Macaca fascicularis: one gene and its partners. The protein of the gene in region 1 interacts with the protein of each later gene in a biochemical or structural test. Links are inferred from orthologs where the notes say so. Each region holds a gene or a part of one and is shown on either strand. Other genes may lie near its edges.

Region 1 (4,169 bases):
GTGTCTTCTCCCTCCCCACCACATTCTACGATTCTACCTTAGGTAACTCCCTTAACCTAGTTAACCTCACAATGTCCTCATTTGTAAAAACATAAAAACGACAATACACTAACTTGGAGTGTTGAAAAGATAACTTATGTAAATAACCTAATATTTAATAAATACTCAGTTAATGTTACAAATTCTTTTCCAAGGTCTATTTTTTTAGAAACAGAGTAATAATTTTAAACCCGTAATAAGTCCCCTCTTAGACCCCTGAGAGCCTGGGGATTCCAAACTGGGTCAACTGGGATAGGCTAGGGGGCTTCCAGGATGAATTAGGTCAAGATCCCTGCCCTTCGGGATCTCAGAACCCAGTACAGGAAAGACAAGTCTGTAACACAAAGAGATTGTGACAAGTGCTCAAAGAGAAACATAAAGTGCTGTGGTCACACAGAGGAGGAAACAACTCATTCTGAAGGGGGATGTGAAGCAGGGGCTCACAGAGCAGTTGGCATTGGAGTTGAACCTGGGACTTCTCTGGAAGGCAGAAGTGAGGAGAAGGCAACTTTTTTGGGGCAGAGCAAACGACACGTGCAAAGAGACACCAGAGGGCAAGTAAGAGCAGGAGACTTTGCTTTGGAGAAAGAACCCAGTTCGATCACAGCTCACTCTCCCTAGCTAGGTAACCCAGGGCAAGCCAAATAATCTTTTCTCATCGACAAAATGGAAATCACAATGTCTACTTCACAGGAAGGATTAAACATGATCATGCATATAAAGCACGAAGTAAAAGCTGGAAAAATAGTAGCTACTGCGATTAGGTGCAAGAATGGTGGGAAACCAAAGGGCAGGAGGTGAGGCTCAACTGATTGCTTTCCGTCAGTCTCAGAAAGGTCTTGCATGCCAAGTAAGAGGTTAGGATTAACTGCTGAGGACAATAAGACCATAGACATTTTTAACAGGAGTGAAAAGAATTGAGTTATCTGCCTTAAAAGAACTCTGGTGTCCGTGAGGGGTAGTCTGGGGAGGAGAGCACTCCGGAGGGCACCCAAGAGATGAGGATACAGATTCAGAGTAATTTCAGTAACATTAGAAAGCAAGTCATGCACTTCAGAAATCTTTTTTTTTGTTTGTTTTTGAGATGGAGTCTCACTCTGTCGCCCTGGCTGGAGTGCAGTGGCGCAAACTTGGCTCACTGCAACCTCCACCTGCCAGGTTCAAACGATTCTCCCACTTCAGCCTCCCGGGTAGCTGAGATTACAGGCGAATGCGACCACGCCCAGCTAATTTTTATATTTTTAGTAGAGACAGGAGTTCACCATGTTGGCCGGGCTGGTCTTGAACTCCTGACCTCAAGTGATCCGCCCGCCTCGGCCTCCCAGAGTGCTGGGATTACAGGCGTGAGCCACCGCGCCCGGCCTGCACTCCAGAAAACTTTCTAAATTTAAATCCACAAGGGTTGAAGGACGACTGCACCTGGGAGTAGGGTAGGAAAGAAAGCCATTAACCGACCCCTTATCTGGTGAATGGTGGTGTCACTAGCTTAAGAGATGAGAAGTCAGAAGTCCTCTGAGTTTTCTTTTGTGCCCACTTCCACTCCAGTTTTATAAAGTTAATGTCCTCTCTAGCCCTTAGGGAACAAAAGAAAGGAAACGTTCCCAGGGAGGCAGGGAGGGCTCAGAGACTGTGGCTCCAAGTTCAATGTCTAGTTCTACCAAACACTGCTCTGCCCAGAACGAACCCCAGCTCTTTATCTCCCCTCAGGAAACCGGCTCCGGGGCCTTTTTTTAATTTCCGGCCCGTTGCAGGCCGGCTGCACTAGCCAGCCGCCGACTCACAGACGCTGGCGGAGGGGACTCCGGAGGACGTTGGCAAATCCACTGGCAAAAGAACTAAGCCAATTTAGCTAATGTGTTCCTCACTAAAAGGTGCCAAGTAGCAAGAAAGCACCCTGCTGCATTCAAGATCCAAAGTACCAAGTTATTATTATAAACTTTGGCCCGTTTTGATTCGAACGACTGAAACCAACCGTTACCCCCCAAAAAATGGCATTTTGCTTTATCAGGGAAGGGAGATCGAGATGACTGAGTGGAGGAGAGGGAAGGAGAACCGCGCCGCGATGGGGGCCGACCTCAGGCCTTCCTGGAGTTGGAACTTGCCCGCTGTGTGACTCTGCAGTCACAAGGCGACAGTTTGCTAGGACCCAGCGCAATTCCAAACGACCCACCAACAAACTGACCTAACTTTGGCCGCCTGGCCTCCTCCCCGCTCTCCTAGCCCGAGCCTTCCAGAGTTCCGAGCTGCGGCTGGGCCAAGCGGAGCTGCAAGCCCGGCTCGCTGAGGCCCAGGGCGGGGCGGTTCCGCTGCACGGGCTCCGGGCAGGGGCTCCGGCGCTCGGGCCTTCCCCGAAGGCGCTCAGTTTGGAGCCTCCCAACCGGGCTCTCACATTAACGACGCCCTCGCGTCGGACCGCGGCCTCCGCGACAGGGGGACGCGGCCACGCTCCGGGCGGAGGGTGGCGTGAACGCCCCGGGCCGGGCTGAGGGGCCAACAGTGGCTCCCAGCGCGGCCTGGCGCTCCCGCCCAGGCTGCGGCCTAGGCCAGCCCCGTTAGCTCCTTGAGCCTGCGCGCGGCCCAGGGAACCGACGAGGCCGTGTAGGGCAGGAGGCCAGACGGCAGCGCCCTGAGAGGCCGCTGCCTGCCTCGGGGGTCCGGAGCCTGGGACGCCGCCCCACGCCCGACCGAGGCCAGAGAATGGCTTTTACCTTCATCAGCCTCCTGCTGGCCGCCATCTTGGATTTGGTGCTGCTCCTTCCCCAGAATGCATCGCGGCCGGCCGGGCGGCTGGAGCCCCCGCACTTCCTGGAGCGGGGGAGGGGCCGCGGGGCGGGGCACAGGAGCGGAGCAGAGCACCTACTGTATGCTTCCCAGCGTGCTCGGAGGCGCGTGGAGGAACACAAGTGAACCGCACAGGCTGAGCCGCAGCGTTTACGGATCGTCCAATCAGATGACAGTTACAACCAGTGCCTGGCACGTAGTAGGCAAATAATAAATATTGATTGCATAAAATAGTTGGCCGGGCGCGGTGGCTCACGCCTGTAATCCCAGCACTTTGGGAGACCGAGGCGGGTAGATCACGAGGTCAGCAGTTCCAGACCAGCCTGGCCAAAGTGGTGAAACCGTGGCTCTACTAAAAATACAAAAAATTAGCCGGGCGTGGTGGCGGGCGTCTGTAATCTCAGCTACTCAGGAGGCTGAGGCAGGAGAATTGCTTGAACCTGGGAGGCAGAGGTTGCAGTGAGCCGAGACCACGCCACTGCACTCCAGCCTGGGCGACAGAGATTCCGTCTTAAAAAAAAAAAAAAAAAGTACTCTGATTGGAATGGGGAATGGAGGTGGGTAAGAGGATAAGAAGGGGAGCAGGGGCCACTTGGAAACCTGTTGCAATCGTTCAGGCAAAGAGGTGACACTGGTTTGGACCTCAGGGAGCAAAGAAGAGAGAAGAACATAGCTTCAGAATATACTCAGACCTTCTTAAGGAGTTCTCTTTTTTTTTTTTTTTTTTTTTTTTTTGAGACACAGTTTCACTCTGTCACCCAGAGTGGAGTGCAATGGCATGATCTCAGCTCACTGCAACCTCTGAATCCCAGGTTCAAGTGATTCTCCTGCCTCAGCCTCTTGAGTAGCATAGATTACAGGCACCTGCCACCATGCCCAGCTAATTTTTGTATTTTCGGTAGAGACAGGGTTTTAGCATTTTTGGCCAGGCTGGTCTCAAACTGCTGACCTCAAGCAATCCACCCACCTTGGCCTCCCAAAGTGCTGGGATTATAGGTGTGAGTCACTGGGCTTGGACATTTTTCTCCATTTCTAAGAACAGTGGGTTTCGGCCGGGCGCGGTGGCTCAAGCCTGTAATCCCAGCACTTTGGGAGGCCGAGGCGGGTGGATCACGAGGTCAGGAGATCGAGACTATCCTGGCTAACACGGTGAAACCCCGTCTCTACTAAAAATACAAAAAACTAGCCGGGCGTGGTGGCGGGTGCCTGTAGTCTCAGCTACTCGGGAGGCTGAGGCGGGAGAATGGCATGAACCCGGGAGGCGGAGCTTGCAGTGAGCCGAGATCACGCCACTGCACTCCAGCCTGGGAGACACAGCGAGACTCCGTCTCAAAAAAAAAAAAAAAAAA
Region 2 (3,500 bases), on another chromosome or scaffold:
AGAGGGTGGAGTTTGGTCGAAAAAGTGTAGATGTATGATTGTTATGTGTCCATAAAGATAAAGAAGTAAAAATTTTAAAAAAGAAAAAAATATAGTCATGATTTTGACACCTTGACTTCTCTTTATTTGATCTAAGTGAAATAGACAAATAAGTCTGCCAGTGTGGACAAGCCATTCAGCATAAAGAGCAAAGGGCTGGAAATAAAGCCACTACTAAGCTCTGAGAGAGTTAGCCAGTTAGGTCAAATAACCAGAGACAGCCCCTTATGGCACTATGAATTAGGCACTGTTTAGAGTATAATTAGGACCACGAAATTTGAGAAAAAAATATAAAAACAATATATCTTACAAAACCTGGAGAATGAAAAACTTCAAAATAAACCCCAGTGCATTAAAAATCAACAGCTATAATTCCTATTCAAAAAATTACTTCCTAATCACACTCAGATCCAAAAAGTGTTTCTTACCTTTTGATAATGCCAGGGAGTGGTAGTGTCCACAGGAAACTTGTATTATTTTTATACCATTCAGAGTCGTTATTTTCCTGTAATACAAATAATACAAAGTTAATTAATCCTTATTTAGAGTGAGTTGTCCAGTGGACTACAGATATTTAAAAGTATCTCAAGTAATACATCTGGTCTAGGAAAACCATTTTATTTTCTTGTATTTCTGTAGTACCTTTATTCCAAAGCCCTCAAACTGTTTTTAACATGACATCAACATGTACAAAGGTATAGGACAGAATCCAAAACAGTATATAATGCAAAAGCCATTGTTACTGGACTTTAATGCAATATCTAATATACTAATTTTATTCTACACTTACTAGCCTAAGAGAAAAATAATGTTTTTCTACATATATAGTATAGGGCCTTAGAATTTATAGAATACCAACATCTTCATCATCTAATTTAAGCCCTAATTTAATAAAGAAATCATTAGGTTAAATCATACAAAATTGCCACCATTTTTGTGGATCAAAAGCAGATAACTATCAGCAATTTCCTTTTTCTTCTCACAGATGGAGTCTCGCTCTGTGTCCCAGACTGGAGGGCAGTGGTGCGATCTTGGCTCACTATAACCTCCACCTCCTGAGTTCAAGTAATTCTACTGCCTCAGCCTCCCAAGTAGCTGTGATTACAGGCATGCACCACAACATCTGGCTATTTTTTTTTTGTATTTTTAGTATACATGAGGTTTCACCATGTTGGCCAGGCTGGTCTCGAAATCCTGATCTCAGGTGATCTGCCCGCCTCGGCCTCCCAAAGTGCTGGGATTACAGGCATGAGCCACTGAGCCTGGCCACTATCGGCAATTTCATAAGGTGAATCTAATGAAACTCAAAGAGGTCAAATAGGTATCACGTTGTAGAACTAGACTCAAATTCTGGTCTTTTCATTCCAAGTTCAATGCTCAGTCCCCCAAATAACATTGATCTCTTCTAGAATTTAATGACCAGAAGAGGTAACAAGAGGTCACTTCCTAATATTAAAAAGCATGCATTTGAAAATTCCCTAAGTATGTAATTCATAAACACACAATCCAGAGCCAACTACTTGTCATGTCTGTCCTGGGAAGCTGTTTGTGAGGAAATGTGACATTTCCCTCCACTTTACTAAGTAAAATGTTAGGGCCCAGTGGTTTATAACACGTCAAAAGGTTATGTTGGGAAAAAAACTTTTCCTCTTCCACCTTTGGTCCAATATTTGGGGGCTTGCAAATGAACTGACAATAGATTAACATGAGAAAAGACAAAGGTTATTTACAAGTGTGCTCGCTATTGCAGAATATCCCAAAGTAAAGTTTTATATCTGTCAACTTAATAAAAGGCGGGGCTTTGGGACTTCAGTGAGAAAGTATAGAAGGTTCTATTGGGCTTTTTGATGGTAATGGTTATGGGTGGTCTATCTTAATGACAACTGATTTCCCAGGAAACTCTCACTCAAGGAAGCTACTGGGAACTGTATTTTCAGGAGGCTCTGTTTTAGTGTGATAAAGGAAGTTCAGGTAAGATTTATATCTGTATCTTTTGCAGCTCAAATGTTTCTACTTTACAGTAGTCTTTATACCCACTCTGGAGGTCTAAGTGGGCCCCCATAGATATTCCAAGGGATAAGATTAAGATCAAAGGGTCACATCTCATTTCACTCTGCTCTAATTAAATAATAATTGGTGTTGTAGGTTTTTTCCTGCCTTCATCTTTCAGGTTAGGAACTGTGTTTGTCATAGTCTTTTTTTTTTTTTTTTTTGAGACTGAGTCTCCCTCTGTTGCCCAGACTGGAGTGCAGTGCATTCTCTGCATGCACTGCAACCTCTGCCTCCCAGGTTCAAGCAATTCTCCCGCTTCAGCCTCCTAAGTAGTTGGGATTGCAGGTGACTGCCACTGTGCCCAGCTAATTTTCTTGTATTTTTTGTAGAGAGGGGCTTTCGCCATGTTGACCAGGCTGGTCTCAAATTCCTGACCTCAAGTGATCTGCCCACCTTAGCCTTCCAAAGTGTTGGGATTACAGATGTGAATCACTGAAGCTGGCCTGTCACAGTCGTCTTTGTATCCTGGCATCTTGCATGGTGCCTGGCACATGGTACTAAATATATTGAATAAATGAAGGAGTGGATTGAAATACTTACTTAGGTGTGAAACTTATTTCCTTGAATTCTCCAATCCCCAGCTGTCCCTCAGAACCAGCTCCCCATGCGAAGACCCTTCCTTTGTGGCACACAGCCAGGGAGTGCTCCTTCCCGCAGCTCACAAGATCAACATTTAGGGTTTCCAATGCCTGAATTGGTTCTTTGGAAAACAAAACAAAACACCCCCCAACCACCACCACCGGATTATTAATTTAACACAAGTTTAAGACAGCACTTTTCTTCAAAAAGAAGGATCATCCAGATTTCTTGTCTCCTCCAATGGTCTTTTAACTCAAGACCTTAAGTCCATTCTAAATGTCTGACGGAAGTAAATTCCAATGTGTGTTACCCTGTCTTGATAGGATACAGCTCTGTTAAAATAATCAACTGGGAGACTATTAAGTTGAGATGGGTCCAGCGCCTTGGGTTCCTACCTAAGCAAACCAAAACTCAACTCAGAGTGATTGATCATAGCCTAGGAAAATGAAACTTAAGGTTAAGCAATCAGAAACCACCAACTAACATCTAAGAGACTTTACCAACCAGAAACAGTTGACTACTTCAAACAAGGGACTTTCCACTTTAACCAATCAAATATTTTCTTTGTCTTACTTCCTGGAACACCTTATCAAAGGTTACCCCTGGCATCTCCTTGCACCTCCCTTAGTGGAGCCCAACTGCTTGAGGTCTGGTGCTGCTCAATTCATGAACTGCTGAATATTCAAATTGACTCTTAAAAACATTTAGTGTACTCAAGTCTATCTTTTAATGGCTGCTATTTAAAGGATTAGGCATCATGGAGGGGGTAACTTCTAGGCACTATGACACATGACCAAATGTTTCTCTAGCAAAACCCAGCAAAATAAAGG
Region 3 (3,500 bases), on another chromosome or scaffold:
TTAGCAGAGGTCTGTATCAATGTGCTCATGTATTTTGTGCTTTAATATCAATTTAAGATTATTAAGCAAATGTAGACCAGGCGTGGTGGCTCACGCCTGTAATCCTAACACTTTGGGAGGCTGAGGCAGGTGGATCACTTGAGGCCAGGAGTTGGAGACCAGCCTGGCCAACATGGCAGAATCCTGTCTCTACTGAAAAATACAAAAATTAGCTGGGCATTGTGGCGCATGCCTGTAATCCCAGCTACTCAGGAGGTTGAGGCAGGAGAATCACTTGAACCCAGGAGGCAGAGGTTGCAGTGAGCCTAGATCATGCCATTGCACACCAGCCTAGGAGACAGAGCGAAACTCTGTCTTAAAAAAAAAAAAAAAAAAAAAAATTAAGCAAATTGTATGAATCACTTATTCAACACCCATTTCTAAAGTTTCTGTGCATTATCGGTTCCTTCCACAGGATGTAGTGAAATGGATGTTACTGCCATATTACAGCAGAGGACATTGATTGAATTGCTCTCAATCAACAAAGCTAATAGATATTGAAACTAGTAGATGATACAGGTCCAAAGAAGGCACATATCAACTGTATTTACTCTTTGGATCTCAATTGCTGTCCATTTTCTTAAAAGTTTTATAATTTTATTATGAACTTATAAAACAGTCACAATTTTTTACCTGGTCAAGTCTATCACAGCTGTGGTTCTCAGACCCTGGGGAGGGAGTTTCAATGAGTAGATACCTCTGGAACTTTTAAAAATATAGATCCCAACTGTCACCCCAGATGCACAGAATTAAAATCTCTGAGCCTAGAACCTGGTATGTCAATTTGAAAAGCTTTTCAGATGATTCTGATGTGCAACTTCGATTAGGAACCACCAAATGAGAGCCAGCAGTACAAATCTGAAGTTCTCTTTTGAGGAATTTTTGACCTGGCTATGGTTTCCACAGGTTCATTACTGTGTACTATTTTCACAGCTTATTATTTGTGGACTTGGAAAGATAGATGTTAGTGACTGGAAGGTAAACACCCGGTTAAAACACTGTACACCAGACAGCAACATTGTCAAATGGTTCTGGAAAGCTGTGGAGTTTTTTGATGAAGAGCGACGAGCACGATTGCTTCAGTTTGTGACAGGGTCCTCTCGAGTGCCTCTGCAGGGCTTCAAAGCATTGCAAGGTAACAGCCTGAGGGGCAGGCAAGCTGGGCGGCAGGTGGACCAGGGGTGGGGGCCAGGTCTGTCAGTATGGGGTCTGTGTAGATATTTTATAAACCGTGTGCTTAGAGATTCTCTTTTCACTTCTTACCTGTGACTCTCACATTGTGATACCTTCTCCTTCCTTTCTCTTGTTCCCCTCCCAAGAGCCTTTTGTGTGGGCTTCTCTGATTGTAGTGAGTGCCGCATGCTAGAGACCGTACGTAGTGATGCTCTGCCTTTTGTTTTCTGGTCACCTTACTTTTAATTCTGTTGCACATTCCTGTAAGGGAAGTCATTCACTTTCATGTTCACATCTCGACCTGGTGAAAATGTTTACCTGCCTGGGATGCCTCTCCCCTTACTTTTCAGTTCTTTATTAGACAGAAGCAGCATGGGTCATGGAAACCATCTGTTCGGTCAGAACATTTTAATTACTGCATGGCATCAGACCATTTGTTTACAACCATATTCCTTTTTAAAGAATGGTTTTCCGTGGAATCAGCTGGTTAATTTTGGGATGAGCTTGTAATATTGCTAATGATTGTGGCGCTTCACTGGGTGGCAGTTGCTTCCTTTACCTCTTAAGCACTTCATTGTCAAAGCTGCTGGTGATGACTAAGGACATACAGAGCGAGACTGGTACATAATTCGGCAGTGCTGCCCACAGCGCATGCTCTGAAATCCCTGGGGCGAACCTGCTTTCAGCTGTGCTGCCCTTCTCTGTAAGGAGAGCTCCTCAGCATCACACTGCCCAGATGCATAAAGTGAGGTTGTATTTCTGCTACGTGTATTTATATGGGGTGTCTGTGCGAACTGAAATGGATTCTATAGACGGCTCTTTTGCGCTCAGCCCAGTTTGAGTCATGAAATCTAAATTCGCATTAGGTCATCTTTTTGAATGTGTGCCTATGTATTTTACCTTGGATTTTCCTGATTACTTTTCTTCTCATGCTTTTGGGATATTGATTTTCTCTAAAATATAGAAATTGGGAAAGAGATTTCAATCTCGAGTTTTTTCTCAAATGGAAATACAAAGGTATTATGGAATCTAAGCCTTATCCAAGGTTAATTCTGGCTCTCAAAACCCAGATGCTTTTCCTGCTGCCCTTTGGTAGTACGTGCGGATTCATTAGCATTCCTCTATCCCCAGATCCTGTGGTTTACGTGCCAGTTTTATTCTAAGATTGTGGCGACAAATGCACGCACCTGCAGTGATTTCACCCACATTTCCTTCATTTGCAGGTGCTGCAGGCCCGAGACTCTTTACCATACACCAGATTGATGCCTGCACAGACAACCTGCCGAAAGCCCACACTTGGTAAGGTATTTTTGTAGCTTTATTCCCCATTCCATGTACATAGGTGTTAGTTCCGAACAGATTGGACTTTTTCTTTATTGTACTTACTAGTGTTGAATGAGCCTTTAAAGGGAATGATAAGCAGCTTAAGCGATTTAAAGTTAAGATTATTCGAAAACTGGTAGGAAAACTCAAAAGTGGTCACCTCTGTTTTAGAGAAATACCTTTTAGTTTTCTGTGTGACAGAGTGTTGTGGCTATATTGGTATACACTTGCTGGGCCAGTTTACTTATTATGAATGAACTGTGTAAAATTTGATTTGCTTATTCACAGCTTCAATCGAATAGACATTCCGCCCTATGAAAGCTATGAAAAGCTATATGAAAAGCTGCTAACAGCCATTGAAGAAACATGTGGATTTGCTGTGGAATGACGAGCTTCAAGGATTTGCCCAGGACTCTATTTATACAACCCTGACTGACAGTCTCCTTTCAGCAGAGTTTCAAAGAATGCTGAAATACAGGAAAACAACCCCCCCCCTTTTTTTTTTTTTTTTACATTTTAGGACACTGTGAGGGGAAAGGACAATTTTGAAATTCCTTTTCAAGGAAAAAAAGGTCTTTATGCTTTGCCATGAGGCCACATTCAGCTGCTATTTAAACTTAATATCTTGAACCTAAAGAATGCTGACTTTTCCTACATTTCCAGAGTTAGGCAGTATTCTACACTTAAAGACTACTACTATTTTTATAAAAGGTAATCTATTCAAATTGCTTCACAGATTTTAAGTCTCTCAAACATCAAGACAACTTCAGCAGTCGGTACAAGTCACATTTCATTTTGATTGAATACATAATTTTGAACAGCTCCTGTACTTGCTCTTTGTAAAAAATAAAAATAAAAAATTATTTTGAACTATTCTACCTTTGTAAACAATTGGCTAAAAGAATCATCTTTAAGAAATTAAGCCATTTACATGTTTGTGTTTTTCTATGGCAGAGCATTATATT
Region 4 (3,264 bases), on another chromosome or scaffold:
TCCTCTCAGCTACCACCTGGAGGCTTTGCCGCCCTCTGTCCCTCATTTCAGATTATTGCCGCTCCGACCCATAGCACGCTGCCTACTGCACACACATGGTAGGTATCTGCCCGCCTGATGCATGTCCAGTGTTTGGTGGTATGAGTTAATCAATTCTCCCTTGCCCTTCCAGTTTTAACCAGCTGTGCCTCCCTACATATGACTCCTATGAAGAGGTGCACAGGATGCTGCAGCTGGCCATCAGCGAGGGTTGCGAGGGCTTTGGCATGCTCTGACCGCTCTCCTGTCATCCACTTGGCTCCCATGCTCTCTGGAGCTTCTGGGCACAAGTTACAGACATCATAACCACTGATCCTAACACACATAACCATCAGCCAGAAGATGCCGCATGCTCCCTTGTGTCTGGAGGATTGTGTCACCTACAAGCCTTGTCTTTACCTCACCTGCTCTCTGCCCATATCTACCACAGGCCACTTTGGCATGGTATGTAAGCTGAGCTCTTCATTCTGTCATGAGAAGAGGACCATGCTGCTGTCATTTATTTGGTCCTTTGAAGATCTCAGTAGCTGAGGGAGATGGCACACGGGGCTCAGCCCTGTTGGGAAACTAGTGTGGAGACCCTTAAATCTACACTGCTCCAAAACTCCCTCTGCTGATACTCCTTGGAGACACCCTCTTTGGCCCTCACTACTTGACCAGACTGGTACTTGAGTCCTTCTCATGGGTGGGGTGATTGCCTCTTCTCATCAGGAGCCAGGAGAGAGGGACAGATAGGAGGTGGCCCATAGGAGCAGTCCCTCTGCACAATGGTAGGCATAGGCCATGGCACTGGACTGCCTCTAATGAGGACTGATAAAAAGAATCTCTTTTTGTGGTGTCAGAACTGGAAAAAGCACTTTCCCTTCGGGCATTTCTGGAAACGATTATTAATCCACAAAGAAGAACTCTCTAAGCTTTTTCTTGAATTGTAGCCAGTGAGAAAAGCAGATAGACTGAAGAATATGAAGGATAGCTGAGCTGTAGCCTCCAGAGTGGGGCATGCCTAGGCGTGTGGCTGGCTTGGAGACTACTGATGCTTTTCCCTGAGTTGGTTATTGGCACTGAAGTATGGCCGGCTTGGGCCACTGACTTCCCTATTATGTAGTCTGCTAAAAGCTGGGGATTCTTTAGCGTTCTACTGAAGAAAATTTTGTAGCAAAAGATTAGAACAGTAAGAATAGTATGCCAGCAATCCCTGATTCTCTGTCTGCTTGGTGTTCTCTGGCAGCACTAAGACAAAGGACCAGGGATTAGGAGTTTACGTGCTTATCACAGGTCCTTGGGGTCAGGACACTAGGGACGAACATGGAGGTGATATGTTACACAGTAAACACCTGCCAACCCCTATACTCCCCTTTGCTCCATCAGTTACAAGGAAGGAGAACTAAGGAGGGAGGAAGCTTATTAGGTTCACTGTTGAATGATGATTGAAGAGTACCTGCTGCTGTCTCTTGGAAGATGACAACATCCTTTTTCATTACTATTTGAGAACAATTTCAAGATTCAAAATCTCATTGACTTCCCAAATTTGTGTTTTTAAGAAGGCTTTGCTGCAAGCTACCATTCCCAATGGGGCAGTCAACTCAGAATATTACAAGCCATCCTTATTGCCAAAACCAGCAAGTACACAGAGTCCTGAGACAAGGCAGGACTTTGGCAATGCCTTGGCCTCCTGGAAGCATGTCTGAGCCCTCCTGTTCCCAGGGATCATGAGGAACAAGCCCTCCTGAGCTGCTACAGTTCCTGCCTGACCTCACTCTTTCGCAGTCATCATTTGTCCTTTCTTGGCACATGGGTGCTGACCTCACTCATCCTTGGGGTCCGGGATCCAGCATCAGGGTCTCTGTACCCCAGGATCCTCCATGCCACATGGTCACTGCTCTCCTCAGGGACCAGGACAAGGTGCTGCTGCTTGCCCAAATGTTTTCCCATGGGATATGTACAGGAAGGTTTATCATCACCCTGGGAAACATGATGCTGCCCCCTTGGGCCCAGAAAGGGGTTTCCAGCTGGGGGCACGTGGACTGGTTCTGCTGTTTTTGGCAGTTGCTTTTCTGAATTCTCCCCTCCGGCAGCCTTCCAGAGACTGATCCTGGAGACTGAGTTGATTGTCTTGGCTAGATCTGTCATTTTAAGCTCTAGTCATAGCACTTTTTCAGAGCATCTTAGGCACCATTGCAACCCAACCAGGGCAGCTGCATCCCTGTGGTGGTCCTTAGGCACCAGTCTTTGTTAAACAAAACCCTTTGGTACTGTTGTGGTTTTCTATTCTTCCAGTTTACTCTCTCTGTCCTAACTTTATTCAAAAGTATCTTTGCTCTCTTGGGCCTTTTCTTTTACCTTTCTTTTTCTTTTGTTTTGTTTTGTTTTTTTCTAATCCTGCTTTCATACTAGCCAGTGTGGGGAAAAGGTACAATATGTCAAAGAGATGAGAGTGTGTTATTTGTTGGGCAATTTTCTATTAGTGTTTCTTATTTTGGACAGTTATTTTATTTATGTCCTTGTGACCCAGGTACTTGGGGGCCAGCTACCCTTCTGGCCTTTAGCGTCTTTGAAGGAGACCAGACATGAGTGAATACCTAGGAGAGTGTCAGCATGTTTCTGGAAAATTGGCAGAGACCAAGCCCCGCTGCAGATTGCTCAGGCCAGGTGAAAGGGCCAGGCAGTTGCAGCTGATGATGTAAATATTTTGTACAGTAAATAAATAAATGTTTAAAAGAACCAAGAAGTGAGTGGCTGCTTTAAATGGAGATTCATGGCTTGACTGGAAGGTGGGGAAGGAAAAGATTTGGAAATGATTTTGCATTTCCCCAGTAATTCCTCCTGAAGTGGTTGGCTTGGGGTAGAGTGTACGCCTGAAGCCCAGGCCTGCCCCACTCGTGCCCTTTCACCCTTCCCTGATTGCTGTCCATGGTGCCAGGCAGGGCCACTGTCTCAGCCATGGGGAGATGAGGACAAGTGTTATGCTCAGCTTCTGAAGAAGGAACCAGTTAATCAGTCTTTAAACATTAATTCATTGTTGTTTTACTACCTAGAAATTCAATATAGAAAATTTGGAAATAAGAAAAAGAACAAGGGAAATAGGCAAGTTGCTATCCAGAGGCAATCACTGTTAACACTTCGATAAATAGCCTTTTGATTTTCATATTTAAGCACACATTTGTCTCCCAACATCTCCCTAACCCACAAGGGGTTTACAAAGGTAAGCTTGGAAGAGAAGAAAAA
Region 5 (3,500 bases), on another chromosome or scaffold:
AGAATATTAAAAAAAATAAATAAAGTAAGTTACTACCATTGAACGAAAAACATCAGTCTTTGAAATTGGCTAAAGTATTTCCTCCCCGCCCCGCCCCTTCCCTTAAACTTCTTACAGGCCACAGTGTAGCTTTATGGGAATGGTTATTTCCCATGATATGCTGCTAGGACGTTGGCGCCTTTCTTTAGAACTGTTCGGCAGGGTATTCATGGAAGATGTTGGAGCAGAACCTGGATCAGTATGTATTTTGTGCACTTTAAATTCCATTCTGCCTGATGAGCACATATTTCAGGGAATAATCTGTCATGCTTTTTTTTTTTTTTTTTTTTTTTTTTTAAGATCCTGACTGAATTGGGTGGTTTTGAGGTAAAAGAATCAAAATTCCGTAGAGAAATGGAAAAACTGAGAAACCAGCAGTCAAGAGATTTATCACTAGAGGTAAAGGTATTTAGATTTTCTTATACTATACCTGTAGCATGCTATTTATATAAATTTTAAAACATACAAAATAACAGTAGCTTTACTTAGGTATATGTACTTATAATTAAAAAATTAAAGAAAATAAAAGACATGTTAAACTGCCAAATTTATTTTTTATTTGTGTGTGTGTGTGTGTGTGGTTTCTTTTTATTTTTTTCTTATTGTAACCATCAAATTTAGAATAGTGGTTTTCTCTGGCAGTTTGGTTCCCTAGCATCCTCTATGAATTTTTTTGTTTTAGTTTTTAAGTATCATTATGCATGCCTTGATTTAAAGATTTTTTTATGTATTTAATTCCATTGAGATTATTATTCATATTGATGCTCAAATTGTGTCTTCTTTGGCTAATGGGAGTCTTGAGTCAATTTTGATTCCTCAGTCCTTTTGGCATTGGCCCAGTAATTTTTGATAACTTTCTTACTTCCTGGTATGTTTCATCTTGTGCATTTCCTGTCGCAGACCTTAAATCAGCCATTTCTTAAAGTAGCCTTGATTCCTTTTAGTAGGAAATTGTGTTTTGAGATTACAGTCTGTGCTCTAAGATTGCAAATTGCTACTGGGTTGATCATGGTTTCTAGGCCTTTTTAATTGATAACAGTTTGGCAGTGCATTTTATTTTGTTCTTTTTTTAAAAAAATAAAATAATGAATTAATATTGATACTCCCAATTCAAATTCAAGATGTAGGACCACAAGGTTGTTTTTGTTATTTTTGCTTTTTAGATTTTTTTTTTTTTTTTTTTTTTGAGGCGGAGTCTTGCTTTGTCACCCAGGCCAGAGCACAGTGGCATGATCTTGGCTCACTGCAACCTCCACCTCTTGGGTTCAGGAGACTCTCCTGCTTCAGCCTCCTGAGTAGCTGGGATTACAGGTGTCTGCAACCATGCCTGGCTAATTTTTGTATTTTTAATAGAGACAGGGTTTCACCATGTTGGCCAGGCTGGTCTCAAACTCCCGACCTCAGGTGATCCACCTGCCCTGGCCTCCCAAAGTGCTGGGATTAGAGGTGTGAGCCACCACACCTGGCCTTGCTTCTTAGATCTTAAGTCTTTATCTCCTTTCTTTCAGACTGAATATCCAACTTCCCAACAACATTAATCAAATTACTCATTTGTTTTAATGCCACAACATACACAGTAGCAGTCAGAATTACATCACTGGAATCTGAGGTGGAAGGATGGCTTGAGTCCAGGAATTCGAGGACAGCCTGGGCAACATAATGTGAGAGACTCTGTCTCTTAAAAAGAATTATAACATCAACACTACCACTAACAAAATGATTATTCAAAATAATTAAAGATTTATTTGCAGATGTTTGTACTTAGATCATATACAGTTAGAGATAACACAGTTAAAGGAGGTTTATTTTAAAGTCACTTGAAGTAATTTCTCTTTGTAGGTTTTGCTACCAGCTCTATATGATTAGGACCTTTTGTTTCATTTTGCTTTCAGATTTTAGGGATTCCTTTTTCCTCTTTTGGTTTTATTTTGTAATCAATGTAAAATATCTACAGTGTGGCAGAGTGAACTCTACAAAAGAATGAATATAAGTCTATTCTTGTCTCTTTTACCCATTTTTTCAAGTTTATTTCCTTCCCTCCCTTTTAAAACATATAAGCATATGTGTGTATTAATTACATACTTCCTCCCACCTCCCCAAACATACTATACATTTTATTCCATCTTGCTTTTCTCAGTTAATAGTATATCCCAGAGAAAATGTGAAATGTTCTACCTTCCTTTTATAGCTGCTTAATATACTGCACTTTTATGGTTGTTATCGCAGTTTTTGCAGCTAATCCCTTACAGGCTAGGTATTCAGGCTTATTTCCAGTCTTTTGCTATTACAGATAGTGTGATGAATGGCCTTGTGTTTTTTTGCTAGTGTGTCCCTGAGATAGATGCTTAGACGTGGAATTGCTGGGTCAAAGAGTATGTGCATGTGATTTTGCTAGACATTGACGGATACTTCTGCATAGCAGTTGCATAATTTTGCATTTTCACCATCAATGTGAGAATGCATGATTTGCCTCAGTCTTGCCAGCATTTGTTAAACTTCTAGATTTTTGCTAATCTGATAGGTAAGAAATAGCACCTCAGTATAGTTTTAATTTGAATTTATCTTATTTTGAGCAAAGTTAAACATTATTTCATATATTTAGGATAGTTGTATTTAACTCAGTTGATGTGCCCATTTTTTTTTCTAAGTTGGCTTTCTCTCAGATTTCAGAGGCTTTTTATGTAGCTACAGGTGATAGACACACTCATTAATGATTATATATATCTTTGTGAGAAAAGATGCAAACAATTTTCCAGTTTGGTTAATTCCCCTCCAGCCTCCCGCCCACTTAGCTTGTCATCAAGGAATTCATCTGTGTTTTTTTCTGTTTTTTTTTTTTTTAACATCTCTGATTATTTGGTATTCTGGTGTATCCCAAAATTGAACAAGATTATTGTTTTCCAATAAACCTTTGAAAGAAAGTGTTAGAATTGAATTAAATTCTGTTGTCCTGATTTAATTTGCAAGACCTTCTTGTGTGCTTTAATGGTTTAAACATTGTATTTCGTAATGGATAAGCTTCTGAGAACTCTGATTACTTTGTAGTTTTTTAAACTCTCAAGGAAAAGCTAAAACTAGATTTTCAGATTGAAAATAGAAAAATTCAAACTACAAAAAATTCTAACTACTTTCCAACATTGAATTTACTACTTCTTGATGTGTTTTAATAGGTTGATCGGGATCGAGATCTTCTCATTCAGCAGACTATGAGGCAGCTTAACAATCACTTTGGTCGAAGATGTGCTACTACACCAATGGCTGTACACAGAGTAAAAGTCACATTTAAGGATGAGCCAGGAGAGGGCAGTGGTGTAGCACGAAGTTTTTATACAGCCATTGCACAAGCATTTTTGTCAAATGAAAAATTGCCAAATCTAGAGTGTATCCAAAATGCCAACAAAGGCACCCACACAAGTAAGTAGTCCACAGATAACAAGCATCATAAAACTTCTTTCCTTGTC

What was found. The genes of interacting proteins can lie anywhere in the genome.
Region 2: the proteins of UBE2L3 (region 1) and HERC6 form a complex in vitro, tested with the Homo sapiens proteins (2 studies listed by BioGRID). The link is inferred for Macaca fascicularis from reciprocal best matches to the Homo sapiens genes UBE2L3 and HERC6.
Region 3: the proteins of UBE2L3 (region 1) and SMURF2 form a complex in vitro, tested with the Homo sapiens proteins (11 studies listed by BioGRID, with this or other methods). The link is inferred for Macaca fascicularis from reciprocal best matches to the Homo sapiens genes UBE2L3 and SMURF2.
Region 4: the proteins of UBE2L3 (region 1) and AREL1 form a complex in vitro, tested with the Homo sapiens proteins (4 studies listed by BioGRID). The link is inferred for Macaca fascicularis from reciprocal best matches to the Homo sapiens genes UBE2L3 and AREL1.
Region 5: the proteins of UBE2L3 (region 1) and UBR5 form a complex in vitro, tested with the Homo sapiens proteins (6 studies listed by BioGRID). The link is inferred for Macaca fascicularis from reciprocal best matches to the Homo sapiens genes UBE2L3 and UBR5.

Annotation. Positions count from the first base shown.
Region 1 is NC_088384.1:31,559,586-31,563,754, forward strand, and holds the start of UBE2L3 (ubiquitin-conjugating enzyme E2 L3), read right to left. Parts: upstream 2,801-4,169; 5' UTR 2,775-2,800; coding exon 2,748-2,774; exon of another isoform or gene 2,222-2,747; intron 1-2,221. UniProt on the Homo sapiens protein: Ubiquitin-conjugating enzyme E2 that specifically acts with HECT-type and RBR family E3 ubiquitin-protein ligases.
Region 2 is NC_088379.1:93,929,405-93,932,904, reverse strand, and holds part of HERC6 (probable E3 ubiquitin-protein ligase HERC6), read right to left. Parts: intron 2,792-3,500; coding exon 2,632-2,791; intron 545-2,631; coding exon 468-544; intron 1-467. UniProt on the Homo sapiens protein: E3 ubiquitin-protein ligase which accepts ubiquitin from an E2 ubiquitin-conjugating enzyme in the form of a thioester and then directly transfers the ubiquitin to targeted substrates.
Region 3 is NC_088390.1:71,138,891-71,142,390, reverse strand, and holds part of SMURF2 (E3 ubiquitin-protein ligase SMURF2), read left to right. Parts: intron 1-972; coding exon 973-1,174; intron 1,175-2,435; coding exon 2,436-2,511; intron 2,512-2,823; coding exon 2,824-2,923; 3' UTR 2,924-3,500. UniProt on the Homo sapiens protein: E3 ubiquitin-protein ligase which accepts ubiquitin from an E2 ubiquitin-conjugating enzyme in the form of a thioester and then directly transfers the ubiquitin to targeted substrates.
Region 4 is NC_088381.1:142,610,915-142,614,178, reverse strand, and holds the end of AREL1 (apoptosis-resistant E3 ubiquitin protein ligase 1), read left to right. Parts: coding exon 1-98; intron 99-172; coding exon 173-275; 3' UTR 276-2,764; downstream 2,765-3,264. UniProt on the Homo sapiens protein: E3 ubiquitin-protein ligase that catalyzes 'Lys-11'- or 'Lys-33'-linked polyubiquitin chains, with some preference for 'Lys-33' linkages.
Region 5 is NC_088382.1:111,884,516-111,888,015, reverse strand, and holds part of UBR5 (E3 ubiquitin-protein ligase UBR5), read left to right. Parts: intron 1-117; coding exon 118-238; intron 239-339; coding exon 340-444; intron 445-3,209; coding exon 3,210-3,453; intron 3,454-3,500. UniProt on the Homo sapiens protein: E3 ubiquitin-protein ligase involved in different protein quality control pathways in the cytoplasm and nucleus. Mainly acts as a ubiquitin chain elongator that extends pre-ubiquitinated substrates.